3 linked regions of the Elephas maximus indicus genome follow. The protein of the gene in region 1 purifies or fractionates together with the protein of each later gene. This does not show direct contact. Links are inferred from orthologs where the notes say so. Each region holds a gene or a part of one and is shown on either strand. Other genes may lie near its edges. The genes, in order: NRBP1, TSC22D2 and TSC22D1.

The links.
Region 2: the proteins of NRBP1 (region 1) and TSC22D2 purify together in Homo sapiens (affinity purification with mass spectrometry; 5 studies listed by BioGRID and IntAct, with this or other methods). This does not show direct contact. The link is inferred for Elephas maximus indicus from reciprocal best matches to the Homo sapiens genes NRBP1 and TSC22D2.
Region 3: the proteins of NRBP1 (region 1) and TSC22D1 purify together in Homo sapiens (affinity purification with mass spectrometry; 6 studies listed by BioGRID and IntAct, with this or other methods). This does not show direct contact. The link is inferred for Elephas maximus indicus from reciprocal best matches to the Homo sapiens genes NRBP1 and TSC22D1.

The regions. Positions count from the first base shown.
Region 1 is NC_064830.1:45,926,666-45,934,005, reverse strand, and holds the start of NRBP1 (nuclear receptor-binding protein), read right to left. Parts: upstream 3,039-7,340; 5' UTR 2,922-3,038; intron 309-2,921; exon of another isoform or gene 304-308; 5' UTR 284-303; coding exon 74-283; intron 1-73. UniProt on the Homo sapiens protein: Required for embryonic development. Plays a role in intestinal epithelial cell fate and proliferation, thereby involved in the architectural development of the intestine potentially via the regulation of Wnt-responsive genes.
Region 2 is NC_064841.1:9,524,657-9,532,849, reverse strand, and holds the start of TSC22D2 (TSC22 domain family protein 2), read left to right. Parts: upstream 1-4,970; 5' UTR 4,971-5,059; coding exon 5,060-6,510; intron 6,511-8,193. UniProt on the Homo sapiens protein: Reduces the level of nuclear PKM isoform M2 which results in repression of cyclin CCND1 transcription and reduced cell growth.
Region 3 is NC_064832.1:35,811,400-35,818,909, forward strand, and holds the start of TSC22D1 (TSC22 domain family protein 1), read left to right. Parts: upstream 1-4,509; 5' UTR 4,510-4,627; coding exon of another isoform or gene 4,628-4,637; 5' UTR 4,638-4,827; coding exon 4,828-7,510. Other genes in the region: uncharacterized protein LOC126057991, read right to left, coding at 835-886, 3,768-4,509, 4,628-4,637. UniProt on the Homo sapiens protein: Transcriptional repressor. Acts on the C-type natriuretic peptide (CNP) promoter. Acts to promote CASP3-mediated apoptosis.

The sequences.
Region 1 (7,340 bases):
CTTTGAGACTTTTGCCCCTCTAGTTCTCACCTTAGAATTCATTCTCCCAAGAGTGCCGTTACCACCGCCTTACCTCTTCTCGCCTCTTCTGCCAGCGACCACAAGGTGACTCTTCCAAGATCTCAGACTCATCTTCACTTTCTTCTTCCTCCTCTGGGGAGGCAGCTGAAGTTGTGGAGGTCACGGGAGGTGACACTGACGTCAGGCCAGGAGCTGAGGATGAGGATTCTACCTTTGCATCTGAGCCACTGCTGAGTACCGTCTGGGACTCCCCCTCCGACATGCTGGAAGGAACACTCAGTCCTGCACTGGTTGGGCAAGGAGGGAAGGGGAAGGTAGAAGGTATCAAGACAGATCTATAAAAATAATCCTAATAACCTTATTTGAAAGAAAATTAAAAAAAAAAACCTCCTTTGTTTCCAAAATGAGAATTAATGCTGCTTGAATATTCAAACATTAACTATTCTCCTAAGACTAGTCTAGAGAAGAGGAGGAAGTATAACCCCACCTAGTAAGATCCAAGTAAACAGCAAAAATATTCATCCAATAGCCTTTCCTTTCAGAGCACCCAAGTTCAGAACAGATGAGTGTGAACTCTAAAATGTTCTACTGATCTAACACTTAGGCTGACTTTATCCAGCTGAAACTCTTAGTTGATTTACCCAGCTAGAACTAAACTTGGCATTCACTATCCATCCTCCTAGACACAGAACAAGCCTACCAATCCATGGTGAGGCTATCCTTGGTCCAAGTGACTGGCAGAGGTTAGTGACCTCACCCCTAATGACCTTAAAAATGTGAGTGTGGCTAATGAGTACTGGTTAGCAACATTTTTTTTTCATTCATTCATGCAACAAATGTTTATTAAGCACTTATCATGGGCCAAGCACTGGGCTATCTGCTTGAGATATAATAGTGAACAAAATAAATGAGATCCCCCGAACGCATGTAGTCACAAATTCAAAGCAGTTCTAAGACTTTGTTTCCAGTTTCCATTTCATTCACATGGCTTAAACATTCCTAAGTTTCCATGCTTTGGGGCATTGAATCTGACAAATAACTTAAGATACAGCCTTTGTAAAAGAAAGTACTGTATAGTATAAAATTTCTCAGAACATGGCTGAGAAAAAGAACTCTTAGAAAAGAATTCTAAGAAAAAGAATCCTTAAAAGCGAAATGTCACTAACTTCCAGAAAGTCAAAAGACAGTCACTGAATGTTATTCCCTATCTCTAAGAACAAAGGCTGTGAAGGAGTTGGAACCTGTGTGTGCTGGGTCAAGGCAATGCTCTTTAGTATAAAACTGATATTCTGAAAAGTAAATTTGCTCCTCTTAGTTCAGAATGCCAGGAGCCTCCAAGCAACACCAATATTTTGAAAAGTCCACATTTCTTTTTTAGAACTCTGTGATGCCCACTTCTGCCCACCCATACCCCCAACTCACACTATATTCAACCCAAGTCCAGAAATTTCTATTAGATGAAATTCTAGTAAACACCAAGAAGCAACAAGGCAGTACAGAGAAAATCTGGTAAGATACTCTTTCTCCATGTTATTTTCTAAGTCCTGGCTTCCCAAAGAGATTTCACTCAGCCAAGCCGCGAAACCACGCCTTAATAATCTACCAGAGATCATTCTCCTTCTTCCCATGAAAAGTAGCTAAGAAAATGGATAAGAAAGTTTGTATCGGTTAATTTCTAGAGCAACTATAATCAATGAATGCATCTGGTATGTGGAACAGCTAAGAAAAATTTCCAGCTAGATTATAATAGGAAATATCAGTGGAATTCAGGAGCCCAGGTGTCGCAGTGGTTAAAGTGCTGGGCCGCTAACCAAGAGTCCACGCTTCAAACCCACCAGGGCACAAACAACTACTAATCGACAGTAGGGCACCACAAGAGAAGAGGAGCTTTCATCAAAGAGATGCCCTTAAAATGTGCTTGTCCCTTCCCTCCCCAGTCTTTTCCCAGTAGCGGTTAAGAGCTTGGCTGCTAACCAAAAGGTTGGCAGTTCGAATCCACCAACCGCTCCTTGGAAACCCTATGGGGCAGCTCTACTTGGTTCTCCAGGGTCACTAAGAGTCGGAATCCACTCAACTGCAACGGGTTTGTTTTTTTGTTAGTGTTTGGCCTGTGACAGGCACTCGAATGAATGTCTGTTGAATTTACGCCCATAGGGGAATCTCCTCGCTGCCTCCAGTCACCTCAAGATGCACAGTATGTTCACTTCTGAGCAGTGTAGGTCGTCCCGCTAAGTTTTTCTCAGAGACTTTCATTTACTGAACTGTCGCCCCTCTGTGTTTCAACTCCTCAGCAACAGCTCGCAGGCCCGGGCCTCTCCTGAGCTGACCAAAAAGGTCCGAGACCCGCAAAACTGTCCAGTCAGAAATAAAGCAAGCTCTAGAGAAGAAGAGGCCCTCCGAATTTCGCATTCCAACAGGTCGCCCTGCCCGGTGTCTGGAACAGCGCGGCCCGCAGGCCCCAAAGTGCGCTGCGGCCACCTCATCAAAGGCCAGCGGGCTGGCGGGCGGCGCCGTCAGGGCGGAGGCCACGCCCCCGCGCAGCCAGCGCGCCGGCCGCAGCGCTTCCGCAGGCCGCCGGGCCCGCACCGCCCGCCCGCCCCGCCCCCGCCCGTCGGCCCCGCCCTCGTCAGCCAGAGTTCGAAGCGAACGTCAGGGCCCTCCCGACCCGCGCGGGCGGAATTCCGGGCCGCCTCCACTCCGAGGAGGTTGAGGAGGGCCAGGCAGGGACTGTGGGGCAGAGGCGGCCCCCGGGCTCAGGCGGGCCGGCCCGGGCTTCCGAGTGAGCAAGGCCGCCTTCAGGCACCCGCCTGCCGGGGTCCAACGCCCTGGGGCTCGGAAGCCGATCCTTTCGTCCCCTTGCCGACCTCCCACCCGATTCCCTCGTTCCCTTCTGCGCTCACCTCCGGACACCGCTCCCCGCAGCCTGCGCTTCAGCTCCAGCTCGGGTTCCGGGGCCCCGGATCAGAGAGACTCCCTCACAGCTGCGCTCCACAGCGCAACCGAACTACGGGCCCCGCCCTCGCGGCGTCCTGACCAACAGATGGGCGGTGCCGCACTGCCTTAGGTTTCCATTGGACAAGACGGCTGAGTGGGCGGTGCCCAGTTTAGAGGGTCAGTGGGAGGGAGTCTTCAACCGGGCCTCTTCCCCTTGAGCCGGTCTGGCGGGGGCCGCTCGGGGAGTTCGGCCTTTTCCATTCCACCTGGGGACCTCTTCTCTGTCCACCCCTGTACCCAGTCCAGGAACCCCCGGTGATTCTGCTAGACAAAGATCTCCCCTGTCTTCTTGAAGGCGCCATGACAGTTCTAATCCGACCAAAAGACAAAAGGAGCGAAAGTCTGAGAGGAGCGTCCACCCACTTTATTTAGGGATGAGGCAGTGGCCAGGACACCAATTCCTCAGAAAGCTTTAGGAAAAAAAAAAAAATCACTACGCTTTGTGATTGCATAGTACTGTTATTTGCCAAAACTTTGCAAGAGCATTTCATAAATGTTATTTGATGATTTTCAGAAGAACTCATTGAAATTTTATCATTGATAGTCGACAAATACAAAAATAAAAACTGAATAAAAGGCACTAAACTATCCAAAGTTAGGTTGATGACAGCCAAAACCAGAATCTGAAATAAGATTCACCGAAGAAGACCTCATTGAGAAGATATTTGGAGAACTTAGATTGGGTGAGGTGTAAAAAATGGATTTTGGGTGAACCCATTGATCCCAGAAAAGTATATGCAGAGCCTAAAGGATGGAAGTTCAATTTGCCATTAGACATATACACCGGAGGGGAGAAGATAAGCCAATCACCAGAATTTGGGAATGTCATAATCACCAAATTTCACTGTCCTAAAGAGAATCTAATCCTACTTCAGAGGAGCCCTGGTGGCTCAAATAGTTAAGCACTAGCCTGCTAACTAAAAGGTTGGCAGTTGGAACCCGCCCAGTGGTTCCAAAGGAGAAACACCTGGTCATCTTTACCTAGCGGCTAGTAGGAGAAACGCCTGGCTCTGGCAATCTGTTTCCGTCAAGATCAAAACCAAAAGGGGTAGTTCCAATCTGTCACATGGGGTCACTATGAGTCGTTATTGACTCGATGGCACCTAACAACAATCCTACTTCATCGAGAGGATAATCCTTTCCCAACCTGTGGGAAATATATTGCTCACTTACATAGTCTGCCTCTGAGGTTTCTTGGGAAACTTTTCTCGCAGTGTGTGCTGCTGCAAGGTGAGGACCTATATAATTGCTTGAAATGGAAGAAATGAGTGTGTGCCACAAATTACTCCTTTTACAGGGTATTGTATGAAGTGCTGAATCAATACTTTTGGTAGGTAAAAGATGGATTTTGATTTTAAAAAATTATTTGGAACACATATGTCCCTCTGGACACTGAGGGTAGGATTGGTGGGGTGAGGCAATAAAAAATTCATACTGCTGAAAAATTCAGACACACTCAATGATTCAGCATGCATTCCATTTAAAATTCAAAGCAGAAAATAATTAGGCCTTGAAAGGGATAACTTGCAGAAGCCATCTCATTTTCTTATCTCTTCACCTCAAAGTATTTATTTCTAAAACCAATCTTTCACCCTTCCTTAATTCTTTTATCTTTGAAAGAGAGGGCTCAAACACACTTTTTAGAAATCTGATGAAAGATATGGGCTGCCTTTTGGATTTTTTTTTTTTTTTTTTTAATGCACTTGCCCACTAAGTTTAGCATATAATTTCAGGGAGTTGAGATTAAGAATCTTTGTTCTAATCTCAAAGGAAAAGATGTACCTACCTCTTCCCAGCTTAACTTCTTCTCCCTGTGGGTTCTAACACAATTGAAATGCCTGGCCCATGGTAGGTATTTATTAAATGTCAGTTGATGTAATCATTATAGTTTCCCATTCTCTTCCATCTGGGACCTTAGAATTATCAACCTTTCCCTTTGAACTACCTTCTTCTTTCCAATATGCACAGAGGACCCTTTGGCATACTCATGCTTTCATCTTATTTTTAAACTTTCATTCACATTTAACATGCTCAGATAGAAGATGGCGGAATAGCCAGATGCTTCCTGCGTTCCATCTTACAACAAAGACCCGAAAAATCAAGTGAAACAATTATGACAAGCTAGGAGCCCTGAACATCAAAGGCAAGGTTAGAAAATGGACCAAGTGGCAGGTGGAGAGTGAGACCATTCAGAAGCAGACAGGAGTTGCCGGACCTGAATGTCTGAGATCCCTCAGGCACCATTCCTGGAAGTGGCTGTGGCGGGCTGGTTGTAGTGTTCTGCCGCAGTTTCCTCAGGGAGAAATAGCCAGCCGCACAGCCTACTCACACCTCTGGAACCAGAGAAAAATGGTGCTCTCGGCAAAATCTAAGTACTTGCGTATATTTTACAGCACCCCCCACCCCCAAGCTGGCTTCAGTGGCTGTTGATTTCCCTGGGCCTGAGATAGGCCCATTTGAACGCCCTGAGCCATGCTCCTGGACTTGGAGAAGGAATAAATTCACAACAGGGGGAAAAGATAATTTGCCAGCTCCACTAACCTGGGGAGCTCAGGACAGAAGCAGCTCATGTCCAAGCATAAATGGTCTGTGGACATTGAATACCTTTCCCCCCTGGATGGACCTGTGTGGGCCTATTCCAGAAGAATAGGCCCTTACTGGCAGATTGTGACTGTTTAACCTGTGCAGTGGAGAGGTGGATGTTTGTTATTTGACATGGCTTTGCCTATTAAACAGGGTCCTCACCTACAAACATCAGGGGCCTAAGGACTGGTGGCTCCTCTCAAGTCACCCAGCCACCCATGACAGGGGTCCATGGATAACTGGTACCTCCTAGTCCTTACAACCAAAAGCATTGGGTGCCCATGGTCCATCTGCAGAACCCACCCACCTGCACGCTCTAGGGAAGAGGGACATGCTCTCCTCAGAGACACTCGGGACACTTCTCAGCCCCCTGCCTTGTTCAGAGCATGACCCCCTGCTGCAACCAGATACTGGTACCTACACCGAACACCCCTGCCCCTCTAAGACTATAGGACAGAGCCTGTACCACACACTTGATGACCAGCTACCTGGACACCTGAGCTGAATTCACACAAGAAAAGTGAATGGACTCATAATCTCATATACCTGATAACAGCTCTAGCCATCTGGTGACAGGATGTCAGAGGTCCAAAGGCGAAAACAGTCAAGCTAGCTCACTCAAGCAAGCCATTTGGGCATAACAAAACAAAACAAAGCAAGAAACTAGGATACAGTAAGCAAACATAAAATAAACTAAAACAATAACTTATAGATGGCTTGGAGACAACAGTCAATATCAAACCACATAAAGAAACACACCATGATCACGTCAACAAGCTCTCAAAACAGAGAATCAAAGGATCTTCTGGATAAAGATGCCTTCCTGGAATTACCAGATGCAGAATTCAAAAGATTAATATACGGAACTATTCAAGACATAAGGAAGGAGATCAGGCAATACACAGAACAAGCCAAGGAACACACAGATAAAACAGTTGAAGAAATTAAAAAGGTTCTTCAAGAACATAATGAAAAATTTAATAAACTGCAAGAATCCATAGAGAGACACCAATTGGAAATTCAGAAGATTAACAATAAAATTACAAAATTAGACAACTCGATAGAAAGGCAGAGGAGCAGAATCAAGCAAGCAGAAGGCAGAATTGGGGACCTTGAAGGTAAAGGACTTGGCACCAATATACTTGAAGGAAAATCAGATAAAAGAATTTTAAAAAATGAAAAAAACATAAGAATAATGTGGGACTCTATCAAGAGAAATAACCTACAAGTGATTGGAGTACCAGAACAGGGAGGGATAACAGAAAATCAGAGAGAGTTGTTGAAGATTTGTTGGCAGAAAACTTCCCTGATATCGTGAAAGATGAGAAGATATCTATCCAAGATGCTCATCGAACTCCACATAATGTAGATTTTAAAAGAAAGTCACCAAGACATTAAAATCAAATTTGCCAAAACCAAAGATAGAGAATTTTAAGAGCAGCTAGGGATAAGCGAAAAGTCACCTGCAAAAGGACAGTCAATAAGAATAAGCTCGGACTACTCGGCAGAAACCATGCAGGCGAGAAGGCAATGGGACGACTTATATAAAGTTTTGAAGGAAAAAAACTGCCAGCCAACAATTATATATCCAACAAAATTGTCTCTCAAATATGAAGGTGAAATGAGGACATTTCCAGATAAACAGAAATTTAGGGATTTTGTAAAAACTAAACCAAAACTACAAGAAATACTAAAGGGAGTTCTTTGGTTAGAAAATCAATAATATCAGGCATCAGCCCAAG
Region 2 (8,193 bases), on another chromosome or scaffold:
ACACCGTGGTCTCCCTGCAAGGAGTTACTAATGTGATATTGTTCCAGAAACGTAATCTCAAGAAAATCATAATAATAAATCAAATACTACTTATTCAGACAATGGATATTTATTTCTAAAACCATTTCTGCATTTCGTATGTTTAAAACAATTTGGCGATAAAAACAGAAAATAAACATAAGCTACTTCGAAATCCCAGACAAACTTATTAGCTGGGGTTCAAGTTTCCTAATATACATGGGGACTGACTGATAGTGTTAATTCTGAAAGGTTCGTTCTCTTAGCTTAGGCAATTGCTTGATTTCTACAGAAAGTCTGATTCTCTTTGCTTGTATCCCAGAATGTTTAAATTAATGTATCTTTATTATTTTAAATATTAATATGCATTCCTGGGGGATGAGGGGGTGGATCCTGTTTTTTTTTTTTTGGCGGGGGGAGGCGGTTTCTGCAGTTCAACTTCCAGTATCTTGTGACTATGAAACTACCACCTGGTACTGCTGCCATTAAATAATAATAACCCAGTAGAATTTGGGGTAAATGCTTACAAATGATGAAAGGATCTTGCTACAGCAGCTTTTTCCATCAGTGAAAATAATCCTTAGTTGCTAAGTTTTTTTTTTTTTTTCTTTTTCTGCATTGTTCTACCTAAATGTACTTACCATACATTGCTACAATTTGAAATCTTTGAGGGAAATACCAAGCGTAGGACAAACAGTCAAACTGGGGCCCTGAGAGCAGTCATTGAGGGTTCCACAGTCCCTACCTTTGGTTTCTGGGTACAGGTATGGAGCCACGATAACTGCATTAAGACCCTTAGCTTTGAGACTTGGGTCTCCAGGGATCTCTCCCGTTCTAGGGAGTTGAGCTATTAACTCTAGGCTACCATTTTGCGTATCATCAACTCATCACACACTGAGCTTACGCATTTGCACATATATCCCGTCTTCAATCACTTTAGCTATTTGAAGGCTTTTAATCCTTTGTGAATCAACTATGAGTAAACACAGATTTTGTAGTTTGATGATAGTTATATTGTACTTGGAGCCCTGGTGGTGTAGTGGTTAAGGGCTATGGCTGCTAACCAAAAGGTTGGCAGTTTGGATCTACCAGCAGCGCCTTGGAAAACCTATGGGGCAGTTCTACTCTGTCCTAAGGGTTGCTATAGGTCAGAATCAACTCAACAGCCATGGGTTATGTCATATTTGTCCTCTGTACAATGATTTCAAATTTTTTTGCAACAACCAACATTCTAATCATCTTAGCAGTTTTATACAATAAATTCTCTATATTCTTTTAAGGGCAAATGTATAAAATGCAGCTAAGGCGTTTAAAACTGTTGGAGAACATTGTCAAGGCTAAGCACATATACACACAAATCTTTATAATCTAAATGAAACGCTTTAATTTTATGAATCTTATTTTTCCCCCCTAAGATGTTTTTAACACCTTTAACCCTGTCCTTACAAGGAATATAGCCTACTTCTTGATCTCTTCTAAATGATCTTTATCCACACTTTAATTTCATAATAAATCCTTTGTGTCTAAGGAGAAAGTCTTTTTTTTTTTTTTTTAATTTTTATTGTGCTTTAAGTGAAAGTTTACAAATCAAGGCAGTCTTTCACACAAAAATTTATATACTCCTTGCTATATACTCCTAATTGCTCTCACCCGAATGAAATAGCCCGCTCCTTCCCTCCACTCTCTTTTTGTGTCCATTCCACCAGCTTCTAACCCCCTCTGCCCTCTCATCTCCCCTCCAGATAGGAGATGACAACATAGTCTCATGTGTCTACTTGATCCAAGAAGCTCATTCTTCACCAACGTCTTTTTCTATCCCGTTGTTTAGTCCAATCCCTGTCTGAAGAGTTGGCTTTGGGAATGGTTCCTGTCCTGGGCTAACAGAAGGTCTGGGGGACATTACCACCAGGGTCCTTCTAGTCTCAGTCAGACTATTAAGTCTGGTCTTTTTACTAGAATTTGGGGTCTGCATCCCACTGGTCTCCTGCTCCCTCAGGGGTTCTCCGTTGTGTACCCTGTCAGGGCAGTCATCGGTTGTGGCCCAGCACCATTTAGTTCTTCTGAGGAGAAACAGTCTTATAGATTATTTGAAGATTTTCCCTTAAATGTGTGATTGCAGATTAACATCACAAGTATTCAAGAAGTTATGTAACAAGTTCATGTCATGAGACAAGCAGACTTAAGATATTTTTCCAAAAGCCCTAGGCTCAATACCACCCATTGATAACTATTTTTCATAATCTAATAAATCGATCCAAAGTTAAATTAAGCTTTTATAAGTTCATATTAGATTTAACCAGTTGAACTAACTTATTGATGGAGAACTGTCTCTTACAATGACTGAAATGACGGATTTAGAAACGAAACATTCCATGAGCTATCTCTGCCACAAGAGCAGCATAATGTTACACTTGGTTCCTTTACTCCCTCCCACCCCCTTAAGAAACAGGGATGTTATTATGTGGTCTTATTTTACATCTTGACCTCAGTCACTAGGATTTGGAGGACATGGTTTCTACTAAGGCTAAAAGATGTGGTCTTGGCAAAGAATATTGAATATACCATGGACAGCCAAAAGAACGAACAAATCTGTCTTAGAAGAAGTACAACTGGAATGCTCCTTAGAAGCAAGGATGGCGAGACTGCATCTTACATACTTTGGACATGTGGTCAGGAGGGATCAGTCCCTGGAGAAAGACATCATGCTTGGCAGAGTACAGGGTCAGCAGAAAGGAGGAAGGCCCTCAATGAGGTGGATTAACACAGTGGCTGCAACAATGAGCTCAAGCGTAACAAGGATTGTAAGGATGGCGCAGGACCGGGCAGTGTTTTGTTCCGTTGCCCGTAGGGTCGCTATGAGTTGGAATCGACTCGACGGCACCTAACAACAACAACAGCAAAGCTAAAAGACATATCTCTAGAACTTATTTACAACCAAGGACCTAAAAAAAAAAAATCTTTATAAATTTTAATTCTCAAAACATCCTGTGGGAGAAAGAGTATTTCTATTCTTCAAAGATTAGAGAACTGCATGTAACAATTTTATGAATTTTTTAGCTGTTGATGTAAATCATGATGGGACTGCTGAAGATGTAACAAATATAAAATCTTGATTTCTTGCAAGACTTCTTATATTTTATCTAAATGATGGCTGCATTAGTAGGTCAAAGTTCAAGACCTCTGCTTCCCTCAGCCCTCATTTTTTAACTGTGCAAAATAATGGCCTTACCATTTTCTTCCTTTACCAGAAAGTAGCTAAAAGAAGATAAAAATCGCCAGTAATTTCATAGCTGTTCTCCCTACTGGGATAGGAAAGAGTGCTCTCTGACTCGTTGTGGCTGTTCATAGCCCAATCCAAATCATACAACACTCTGTATCCAGCTAAGGGTTTTAGAATAAACAAAAGGAAGAACTCTTAACTATTTAACGCAGTAGGTTCTGCATTTATGGAGCCCATAAGCTGATTTCGTGCTGCAAGTAAAAACAGTCTCAAGAGTTTAAGTGTGGTCTCCAATGTTGAAATCACAGGAAATTCAGGAATATTGGGAATATGTTGGTAACCCCTAGCCTTTTTTTAAACTGACCTCACCCTGGGCAAGTTAACTATTCCCTGATGCCATTGTTGGAGACAGAACTTTTGGCTGAAAGACGATTTTTCTGACTCAGTTTGGCTTGCAATTTTTAGCTAATCCTCCCCACGTCTCTCGACATATCACTTCTGACTATAGTGTCCACATTTATCTTCAGCACAGATTTAAGTGACTCGATTCCTCCAGCCGTCCTCCTCTTTATCTCCACTAAATCCCAACCCCCGTCCCTATCGCCCTCCTTTCAGGGAGATTTTGCTAAGTATTATAGACACAGCCCATGACCTCGCATCTTCCAGTGTCTCGGCACGAACCGATACAAAGACGTTCCATTAACGGAACTGTAAGCTTCTCTAAGGCCTGCTATTTCTAGGAGCGCCCACTCTTCAACTCTTAAAGGACCTCCAGCCCCAAATTTAAATTTTAAAAATTTAAAATAAGGAAACCGCTCCCCCTTTTCACCCTTAGCCCCGCCCCCCCCGCCCGGCCTCCACGCGAAACTCCGCAGGAAACCGGAGGGGGCGGGGCGGTGACGTCACGACGTCGGTGCGTCAGGGAACGGCGGCGGCTGCGGAGCCGGCGGTGGCTGCGGCAGCCGCGGCATTTTAGTCGGCGGCAGCAGCGGCGGCGGCGGCGGTGGCGGCGGGGCTGCTGCTGCTCCTCCCAGCATCCTCGGCGCGGCCATCTCAGCCCCATCTTGGCCGAGGAGAGGGAGCTGCAGCCGCCGCTTGAGCAGTTTTGAATCTGAGTTTCTCCAGAGTCCGCGCACCGAGAGCGCACCGAGGGGAGGCCGGAGAAGACGCCGCCGCTCCCTCCCACGGCCCGAGCGCCTCCGCTCGCCGGCCAGCGCTCCCGCCGCCGCCGCCCCTCTCTCCAGAGCCGCGAGGGGAGGCCGAGACCGCCGCCCGCCCGCCTGCCCGCCCGCGGGGCGGCTCCCCCCTAAGGGGAGGACCGAGCCGGCTCTCCCCTCCCCCGGAGCGGGCTTCCGCCAGGGACGGTCGACATGTCCCCGCGGCCGAGCTCCGGCTAGAGCCGGGGAGGGAGGGCCGCCGGCCGGGCGGAGCCAGCCACCCGGCCCGGCCCCGCGCCCCTCCGCCTGCGCCCCTCAGCGTCCGAGAGCGGAGCCGGCGCCGCCCCTCACGCCGCCCCTCCTCGCCTCGCGCGCCCGCCGGCCGAGGCCTGCTGACCGCGGGGCCGGGGCCGGGAGGAAGCCGCCGGCCCGCCCCTGCGCGCGCCCTCGCCGCCGCTGAGGGCGCCGAATCGAGGCGCCGCGGCTGCGGGCGGCGCAGAGGAAGGAGGAGCCGCGCGAGGCCCAGGCAGCGACTGCGGAGGAAGCGCGCGGAGGATGCGGCCCCGAGCGGCCGGGGGCAGAGCCTGAGCGGCGGCGCGGCGGCCCCAGAGCCCGGCCCTTCCCGGTTCCCGGCGGCTCCGTCGCGGGCCGCAGCCGCCTCACCATGTCCAAGATGCCGGCCAAGAAGAAGAGCTGCTTCCAGATCACCAGTGTCACCACGGCCCAGGTGGCCACGAGCATCACCGAGGACACCGAGAGCCTGGACGACCCGGACGAGTCCCGCACCGAAGACGTCTCCTCCGAGATCTTCGACGTCTCCCGGGCCACGGACTACGGCCCCGAGGAGGTCTGCGAGCGCAGCTCCTCGGAGGAGACGCTCAACAACGTCGGCGACGCCGAGACGCCCGGGACCGTCTCCCCGAACCTCCTGCTGGACGGGCAGCTGGCGGCCGCCGCGGTGGCGCCCGCCAACGGAGGGGCGGCCCGGAGCGCGCTCGGGGCGCCGGCCACCCCCGCGCCTCCCGCCCCGGCCGCCGCAGCGCCGCCGCCGCCGCCGCCTGGCGCCGCCGCGTGCAGCTCGCGCTTCCGCGTGATCAAGCTGGACCACGGCAGCGGCGAGCCCTACCGGCGCGGCCGATGGACGTGCGTGGAGTACTACGAGCGCGACTCGGACAGCAGCGTGCTCACGCGCTCCGGGGACTGCATCCGCCACAGCAGCACCTTGGAGCCCACGGCCGAGCGCGACAGCGGCCTGGGCGCCACCGCGGGGTCGGTGGTGGTGGTGGTGGCCTCCGTGCAGGGGGCGCCCGGGCCCGAGGCGGCCGCTGACAGCTCGGTGCCCGCGGTCACCCAGCCGCCGCCGCCGCCCGAGAAGCCCAGCCAGCCGGGCCCGCCGCCGCCGCCTCTGCCCGGCCCGACCCCGGGGCCCGGCCCGACCCCGGGGCCCGGGGCGCCCGGCCTGGCGCCGCCGTTCGCCTACGCCGCGCCGCCGCCAACGGCGCACCTGCTGCCCGGCCTGCCCGCCGGCCCCGGCGACTACCTGCCGCCGCCCGGCCCCGCCGCGCCGGCCCCCGGGCCGCCCGCCGCCCAGGCCGCAGACGCCCCGGGCCCGCCGGCCGCCGCCGCCCAGGCCGCCGCGGGAGGCGTGGTGCCGCCGGGCCTGGGCCTGCCCGCGCCCCCGCCGCAGATGGGGGGCCCCGGGCCGGCGGCGGTCGTGCCTGCCGGGCCCCACGCCCTGGTGCCCGGGGTGCCCGCCGTGCCCGCGGCCGCGCCCGCCCCCAGCGTGCCTAGTGCGCCCAGCACTTCTGCTCCTATGCCAAATGTCCCCGCGCACGGCGCGCTGCCCCTCGTGCCCGGCGCCCCCGGCAGCCTGCCGCAGGCCGACCTCAGCCAGTTCCAGGCGCAGGGCCCGCCGGCCGCCGGGCCGGTGGACGAGGCCAGAAGGAAGTCGGAACCCCTACCTCAAGCGCCGCTCGCTCTCCTCGCTGAAAACAAGCCTGTCGGCAAGCCCCCCGGGCCCGAGGCCCCGGCGCACGCCCTCCAGTTGACACCCATGAACAGCCTGGCCACCTCTGTCTTCAGCATAGCGATTCCTGTGGACGGCGACGAGGACAGGTATGGAGCAGTCCCTTCTGCGTGTTTGCTAGACTGCTTGCCGAGCACTGCCGCTTAGCACCCCGCTTGGGCGGGTGTCTGTTTCCAGTGGGAACCCCGGGCTTTTTGGTTTATTTATTCGTTTATTTATTTTTGATACCAAGTGGTTTGTGTTTAGCAAAGTCGCCTCACCAGTCCCCGGGAGGAGATTGGGTTTAGGTGGCCCACGTAAAGCTGCGTCATGGCGCATTGGCCGGCCGAGTCGTTCCGAGCACTGAAACGGGCAGAGCGCAGCATTGCTGATTCAGTGTAGGGGAGTAGCCGGCTACGCTCTCTAGGGTTGTCCCTTTCTCAGGCGTCAGTCGCACTGGAACACGGGTGGCATGTTTGTCAGTGTGAGCTGCAGACTGAGGGATGAAGTTATTTGGAAAAGTTTCCCGTTCTGGAACGCCAGCAGCAGCTCTAGCAGCAAAGATCCGCATAAGGAGCCTTGTCCAGGGTCTGCAGAGGCCGGAGAGAGAGCGATGAAACGGCCAGGCCAGCTCTGAAGAGCCTGCTTCCTTTTCAGCCCTGTATTAAAAGGGAGGAGGCGGCCAGGCGGCCTCCCAGGGACCTCTCCAGGCTGCCATGGTCTGTTGGTCTGGTTCGTTAGGCGAAAGACGGACAGGAGGATGTTCTGAGCTGCCATTATTCTCCGCTCTCCGAGGGAGGTGTGGCCTTAGTCTCAACACCAGTAAGAGCTGTCCTTTTTTGAAATTGGAGTGATTTTAGAGTAAAAGTGTAAATGCCAGCAGTTGTCTGTGGTTAAGTGAAAATCGCTGTATTGTCACATGGGTTCCACAGCAGCTGATGTTTGGTTACGGTTTAATGAGGATTTTTAGCGGCTTTGAGGAAATGTCTCATGAAAATTTGGCAGACTGTGTATAACAAATTTTTAAAACGGAGTTGTCACCAAGCTTTGAAATGCTAAAAATTACAGAGAAAGTTTCAGATATTTGACGTTTATTTGCCGGGGTTTTAGTTTTGAGAGAGAGGTTAATTTTAAATGTGTTCAAGGGTCGAAACTGTTTTATGGATCTCTGGAATCAGTGGTGTGCAGAGGAGGATGGTGAAATCTGTTCAGACTTTCTCTTCTGAGTTCCTTCACATGCTTTTCTTTCTGTTCTAATTAGCTTTGGATTTGTTACATGGTTCTGTTGGTTTGAAAAATGCTCACCGAAATTCCTCATCTCTGCTTTTTGTAATCAAGAGCTCATCTTTTTTTGTAGGTGCCTTGGTTGTGGGGAGTCTTCTTCCATTTTAGAACTCTTAGAGATACCACAAGTCCAGGAGTGAGCTCAGCTAGCTAGTCACTGCTACCAAGTAAAAGAAAAAAAAAGCTACTCAGAAAAAAAAAAAATCCCTCAGTTCTTTTATAGCTGCTTCCATATTTCACTCTTCACACACAGGGGCATGCCCAGAATGTAGATTTAGGTTATTTTATCACCTTTGGTGGTAGCAGGCAACTTCCCTTTTCTAGCTGCCGGAAGCCAATTTTTTTTTCATGGTTTAGTAAATAACCATTTGCTTACCTTTCTGCTCCTGTACACTGCCCTCATCTCTCATCAAGAAAGGATGGCTGGTTTCCCAACCTCTTCCTCCCCCACCCCCACACACATAACTGTGACTGTCCCTCCTCTTCACCACATCTCTGAATTTACAGCA
Region 3 (7,510 bases), on another chromosome or scaffold:
CTAGACTGGAACAGTGGCGTATTTCTGCACACATTTATCTCTAGTATCTATCTTTACCACTTACAGCTGTTCTGAGGGTAAGCATTCCTTTCCTGCTCTGCCAGGGCACTGCTTTTGGAGAATTAAAACCAAAACACCCATTGCCTGAGTTGATTCCGACTCATAGCGCCCCTGTAGGACAGAGTAGAACTGCCCCATAGAGTTTCCAAGGAGCGCCTGGTGGATTTGAACTGCTGACCTTTTGGTTAGCAGCCAAGCTCTTAACCACTGTGCCACCACTGCTTATTGCAGTTTTTGCAAATAGGTAAATTTTCTATTTTATGACACAATAAACACTAAACAGAGCTAAATATACATGCTGGTTTGCAATATGGCAATAAACAGGTTTAAGTGAGCATTGTAATACAGCTAATCTTAAATTAAGAGAGAGGTAATTCAGAGATACGACCTCAGAACTTAACAGTTGAAATTCAGTCTTTCAATGGTAATGACAACTAAAAGCCTGGGTTCAAAGGATTCGATGACTTTATTACACACAACCAGTTGCCGCTGAGTTGACTCTGAGTCCTGGTGACCCCGTATGTGTCACAGTAGAATTGTACTCCATAGAGTTTTCAGTGACTGCTTTTTCAGTAGATTGCCAGGCCTTTCATCTGTGGTGCCTCTGGGTGAACTTGAACCACCAACCTTTTGGTGTCAGTAACTGTGTGCACCACTCAGGGGCTCCTTTATCACACTTAGCAGTAGGCATTTAATATTCACGTAAAAATACCCTGACTTTTTTATTACAAGGTAACACATGATACCAACTCCTGGCTGTTCAGGTGCTTCTGCTTATTTTGATGTATTTGTGTTCACGTATTGCTGGTCATTGAAACGTTGGCAACTGGAGAGAGTGAGAACAAGAGAGAGAGAGAGGCACATTGTTCAAGGTCCTATTTCCTTAATTGCACAGTTACGCTTTATATCTTAGTGGGACCTGATGCAGCCCAAAAAGAGGTTTGAAAATGATATGGCAGACAAAAAATTAAATACATTTGAAAAACAATGTTTTCTTATGTCCTGGAAAAGTAAAACAAAATGAAAAATTTTTTGAAAGAACTAACACCCCTCTCCCAACAAAATAGACAAATCCGCAATACTGTTTGTTAATGGTTATTAGAATTAAGTATCATCTTCTACAGGATTGTCTCAACAACTTATTCATTCTTCAACTTTGGGTGAGATTTTAACATATTTTACGTGTTTCTTCTTCTTCAAACCATACCAGCACAATCCTAGCGGGCATTTAGGTGGCCTAGGGAGCTGCTGTTTGGGGTAGTTTAAAACTTTGACCTGAGACAACATTTTGAGAGATTAAGAGCATTTTCTTCCTCTCACACTGTAGTCCGAAGAGACTGCATTCTGCCCATCTACATTCAAGTGGTGAGGATAGTTTCTATTTTCCTTTCAAAAACTGTTGAAAAAGCTTGTCAGATTTGCATTTTGACAATGAATGGCAGCCAGTAGCCAGGCATATCACTCCCAACAAAAGCTGCTGACAGATTAAAAAAGAAATGATTATTTTTGTAAAATACGCAAAAGGCCATAGGAAAAAAAAAAAAAAAAACACAAAAAAACCCCAAACCCACTGCCTTCGGGTTGATTATGACTCATAGCAACCCTATAGGGCAGAGAAAAACTGCCCCATGGAGTTTCCAAGGAGCACCTGGTGGATTCGAACTGCAGAGCTCTTGGTCAGCAGCCATAGCAGTTAACCACTACACCATCAGGGTTTCCCAAAAGGCCACAGCTATCTAAAAATGCAAGTATATTCATGTATAAACTCATGAATATCATAAAGCAAAGTATTATCTTTTCAAATGTATTTGACTTTTATCACTTCACTTTCAGTATTTGTAATCTCCTACTTCGTACCTAGCACACAGATTCCATTAGCAATTTGACATCCAAAAATACAGTCAGGCCTTTTGGATTCAGTGGAGAAATAAAAAAAATTTTTTTTTTTTTTGAGTGGAGAGACCGCAGATAAAGCAACAATATATTACAGTTTTGATACAGGGTAGACAAGGGATGTTGAGGAAGCATTTCTATTCAACAATGTAAGACAATCGTGACATTGTTAACTTTCTGAGGGATGGAATGAAGAAAAAGTTCACGTTGAACTAAGTGTTCTATCGAAAACCTGTAGAAGACAATTGATTATGCTTTAACAATCTTCTGAATAGCATTGTGGATCTGTGAGTCCGTCAGGTTTCCTGAATCAATAAACGTTTACGCCCCCAACAACCTAAATTAAAACAAATAAATAACTTAAAAAATTCTCTCCTGGGTTCTTTAGCTTATTTTGTAATTGTTTTTAATTCCAGGGCGAGTAGTAGTAGAAATGCTTAGCGCTAAAATGTCATGTAATGCCAGGCGGGCGACTTCCAGTAAATTGCCTCCCGCCAAACCTGACTCTGCTTCTGTAAAAATACGTTCGAACCCATGGCAAGTATTTTTTTCCCCCCAAAGTGGAATTTCAGATGGCTTTTTTTTTTTTTTTTTAGCCCTAAGTGGCATTCTTCATTTATGTTTCCACTTGTGTTCCCACCATGCCTTTTAAGTCAAACCCATGGAGGCCACAACCTGGACAATTAAACCAAAAGGCACTAAGGCTGAGAACAAGCTCCACCTGTTGAGGTCAGTTCACTGGGCTGGGCTGCTTCCCTCCAGGTCAGGAGGGCACAACCACTCCCTCTAGACAAGAGTCTACCCCGTGGACCTTAGGTAGTTAACTGCCAACATCTGCAACATCTGCCCGGCAGGCTCGCCCTTGGCCGTCGAAGGCTGAGGGGACCGCATGGCAGCCACTTTTCTTTCTTTTTTTGCACTGCACAAAAGGCAACACCTATCGCCGGGAGCCACCGGCCCTGCGCGGACGCCGCAACTCCCGGCGCTGTGGTGTCTCCCGAGGGGACAAGGGCAGGACCGGCCCGGGGCGAGCCCAGGTGCGGCAAGAAGAGCAGGGCTCCGCCGCGGGCCCAGAAGAAAGCCTGACTCATTTCGTGACGGCGGCGGCGGGCTCCTGGGAACTCAACTCGTGATGCTGTTGCTGCGGAGAAAAGCCTCATTACCCATTCCGCAGGCGGGGACACCACCCAGGGCGCGCACACCCGAGACCGGGGCTCCAGCACCCTCCGCGAGCCTCGCCCCTCGCCGCGGCGCCCCCTCCTCTGCCGCGCGCCCGCGCGCCCGCCGCGCGCGAGGAGAGCGGACACGCCCAACCTGGCGCGCGCGGCCCGCGCCCCTCAGCCTGCCCCACCCCCACTCAGAATCCCACAGTCCGACCCGGATCCGCTCCCTCGGCTGAAATTCCCCACCCCCAACACCCCAGGCGTCGGCGCCTCCGCCAGCCTTCGGCAATTTCCGTGTCGAGACCGCGTTCGGCAAGGCCCGAAGACCCGCCGCCTCCTCGCCGGCCAGACGAGGCTTTATGTCTGAGGCGCTGGGGCGCATGCGCAGACGCCATCTTTCCTCCGTCCCCTTTCCTTGCCCCCTCCCCCCGTCGCCACCGCCTCCTCCTCTCGCCGGCAGTCGCCCCTCCTCCTCCTGCGCTCGGGCGCTGGTCCCTCCTCTCCCAATGCCGCGAGAGACTGGGGGATACGGGGGAGCCGGGGGAGCCGGAGAAGGGCACTGTTAGCCACCAGAGCCCCCTCCCCGCCCGACACCCTCCCTCAACACCCACCCACTCACCCGCCCCGTTTACCAACACCGGCCAACCCCACCTCTCGTTCCTTTGAACGGCGTCGGCTGCAGTCGCTGCACCAGCCCGTCTGGCCACCAACGCCGCCGAGAAAGGAGCCGCCGCCGCCGCCGCCTGGGCCGCGGGAGCAGCGGGGTGAAGACGAGCCGGCTGCGGAGACGACGACAAGCGAGGCGCACAGCCCTCCGCTCCAGCGCACGTCCCGCCGCCCTCCGGGGAGCCTCGGGCGCCGGCCCCTTCCTCCCCGAGGACGTGTGCCGAGCCGAGGCGCCTGCCCTGAGGGAGGAAAATGCTCGGGCTCCATGGCTGCCAGTGATGGAGCGGTCCCTGGGCTCCCGCTGCCACCGCCGCCGCCGCGACCCGGCCGTGCTCCGCGAGGACCCGGCGTCTCTGCGCCCCCGCCCGCGCCTCGTTGCGGGGCTCACCGTACCGGGCGCCCCGCCGCCGCCCCGCTCCGAGCCTCGCCGCCCCAGCCGCGGCCAGCGTTTCCTCCCGGAGCAGCCGCCGCGAGCCCAGGGGGTTTGAAAGGGTCCGCGGGGCGTGGGGGGAGGGCGCGGCGGGGCCGGCGGGGCCGGGCGGGGAGGTTTGAGCGGCACTGAGCTCGGGGCTCGCCGGCGGCGGCGCCGGGGGTGGCGAGGGGAAGGCGGGAGGGTGTTGCAGAGCCGCCGCCGCCGCGCCGGGAGGAGGGGGCTGAGGTGGCTTCTGAGTTGGCCGGAGGAGGTGGGCATTTCTCGGTTCCCCTCTCCCTTCCCCTCCTCTCCCGCCTGCCCCGCACCCCACGTGAAGCAGAATAAAGGGGGGGGGGGGTGTGAGAGTAGAGGGGAGAGTGAATGGCGAAGGACTGAAGGGGGCTCCCTTCGGGACCCCGGCCGCCCTGTTCACCCTCGTTCATCCTCCCTTCCCGAAGCTCGCCCTCGAAGGCAGTAGCGACCGGCCCCGGTGCCTTCGGCTGAGGAGGAGGAGGAGGAGGAATCGCGCCCGGCAGAGCGTCAGTCCCGTTTTCCTCTCCGGCTCTTCAGTACAAAGATTACGGTGCAGAAGGAAATTGCACTCGGCTCCTCCGCCCCCCGGTACCCGACACAATGCACCAGCCGCCTGAGTCGGCCGCCGCCGCTGCAGACATTAGTGCGAGGAAGATGGCGCACCCGGCTGTGTTCCCTCGGAGGGGCAGCGGCAGTGGCAGCGCCTCTGCTCTCAGCGCAGCAGGTACCGGCGTGGGGAGTAATGCCACATCTTCGGAGGATTTTCCGCCTCCGTCGCTACTCCAGCCGCCGCCTCCTGCAGCATCTTCCACGACGGGACCACAGCCTCCGCCTCCGCCTCCACAAAGCCTCAACCTCCTTTCCCAGACGCAGCTGCAGGCACAGCCTCTTGCGCCAGGAGGAACGCAAATGAAAAAGAAGAGTGGCTTCCAGATAACTAGCGTTACTCCGGCTCAGATCTCCGCCAGTATCAGCTCCAACAACAGCATAGCAGAGGACACGGAGAGTTACGATGATCTGGATGAATCGCACACGGAAGATTTGTCTTCTTCCGAGATCCTTGATGTGTCACTTTCCAGGGCTACTGACTTAGGGGAACCAGAACGTAGCTCCTCAGAAGAGACTCTCAATAACTTCCAGGAAGCGGAGACACCTGGGGCAGTCTCTCCCAACCAGCCTCACCTTCCTCAGCCTCTTTTGCCACATCTTCCACAACAGAATGTTGTGATCAATGGGAATGCCCATCCACACCACCTCCATCACCACCACCACATTCATCATGGACACCACCTCCACCATGGGCACCACCATCCTGCCCATGCTGGTGTGGCCAGTGCATCCATTCCTGCAGGGCCACCCTCAAGCCCAGTATCCAGAAAACTCTGCACAGCTGGGAGCTCTGAGAGTGTAATACCAGCTGCACCAACTTCTGCTATATCATCCGGTGGCTCACCTGCAACTGTAATGACTACTATCCGCACTCCCAGCACTCCTGGCAGTATAGGTATAAGTTCTGTGACCGGCACTGGTACAGTGAATAACGTTAACATTTCTGCTGTGGGTAGTATTACTCCTAATGTGACAGGCAGCATGCTTGGTAATGCTAATGTGAATACAAGCAGTATCCCTAGTGCTGCTAGTGTGAGTGTTGGACCTGGAGCTAGCAGGGGTGTTAATGTGAATATCTTGAGTGGCATGGGCAATGGTACTGTTTCTTCCTCTGCTATTGTTAACAGTGTCCCTAATGCAGCCACAGGGATGACTGTGGGATCGGTTTTAAGTCAGCAGCAACAACCAGCAGTTAACACATCAAGGTTCAGAGTTGTGAAGTTAGATACCAGTTCTGAACCTTTTAAGAAAGGTAGATGGACTTGTACTGAGTTCTATGAAAAAGAAAGTGCTGTACCTGCTACAGAAGGTGTGATAAATAAAGTGGTGGAGACTGTAAAACAAAACCCCATGGAAGTGACTTCTGAGAGGGAGAGCACTAGTGGGAGTTCAGTGAGCAGTAGCGTCAGCACACTGAGTCACTACACAGAGAGTGTGGGAAGTGGAGAGATGGGAACCCCGACTATGGTGGCGCAGCAGCAGCAACCAGCTCTTCAAGGTGTGGCCCCTCAACAAATGGATTTTGGTAGCACTGGTCCGCAGAGTATTCCAGCAGCTAGTATACCGCAGAGCGTTTCCCATTCACAGATGCAGTCTCAGGAACTGAGCTATCAGCAAAAGCAAGGTCTTCAACCGGTACCTCTGCAAGCCACTATCAGTGCTGCAACTGGTATCCAGCCATCGCCTGTGAATGTGGTTGGTGTGACTTCAGCTTTAGGTCAGCAGCCTTCCATGTCCAGTTTGGCTCAGCCCCACCTGCCGTATTCTCAGAGCACTCCTCCAGTGCAAACTCCCCTTCCAGGGGCACCACCTCAACAGTTACAATATGGACAACAGCAACCGGCTGTTTCTACACACATGGCCCCAGGCCCTGGGAAATCAGTGACTCAGAATCCTCCTTCAGAGTATATACATGTACAGCAGCAGCCGATTCTTCAGACGGCAGTGTCCGCCGGACAGCCCGCTTCTGCAGCAGTGGGAGCAGGAGCAGCAGTGATTCCTGTGGCTCAGCCGCAGGGTATCCAGCCGCCAGTGCAGTCCACTCTAGTCCAAGCACAGCCTGCAGGGGCATCTGCCCAGCCCACTGGCCAGGCTCAGACAGCAGTGGCTGCTGTACCTACTAGTGGTCAGATTGCAAATATTGGTCAGCAGGCGAATGTACCTACTGCAGTGCAGAAGCCCTCTACTCAAGTCACACCTTCAGTTATTCAGCAAGGTGCTCCTCCGTCTTCACAAGTAGTTCCACCTGCTCAAACTGGGATTCTTCATCAGGGAGTTCAAGCTAGTGCTTCAAGCCTTCCTCAACAATTGGTTATTGCACCCCAGAGTACCTTGTTAACTGTGCCTCCCCAGCCACAAGGAGTAGAGTCGGTAGCTCAAGGAGGTGTTCCACAGCAATTGCCCGCAGTTAGTCCTTTGCCCTCTGCTAGTAGTATTTCTGTTACGAATCAGGTTAGCTCAACTGTTCCTTCCGCAATGTCTTCTGCCCCAGCAAACTTGGTTCCACCGCAGAATATAGCACAAACCCCTGTCACCCAAAATGGTAATTTGGTTCAGAGTGTTAGTCAACCTCCCTTGATAACAACTAATATAAATTTGCCCTTGGCACAACAAATAACACCGAGTTCTGCTCAGTTCTCTGCACAATCATTAGCTCAGGCAATTGGAAGCCAAA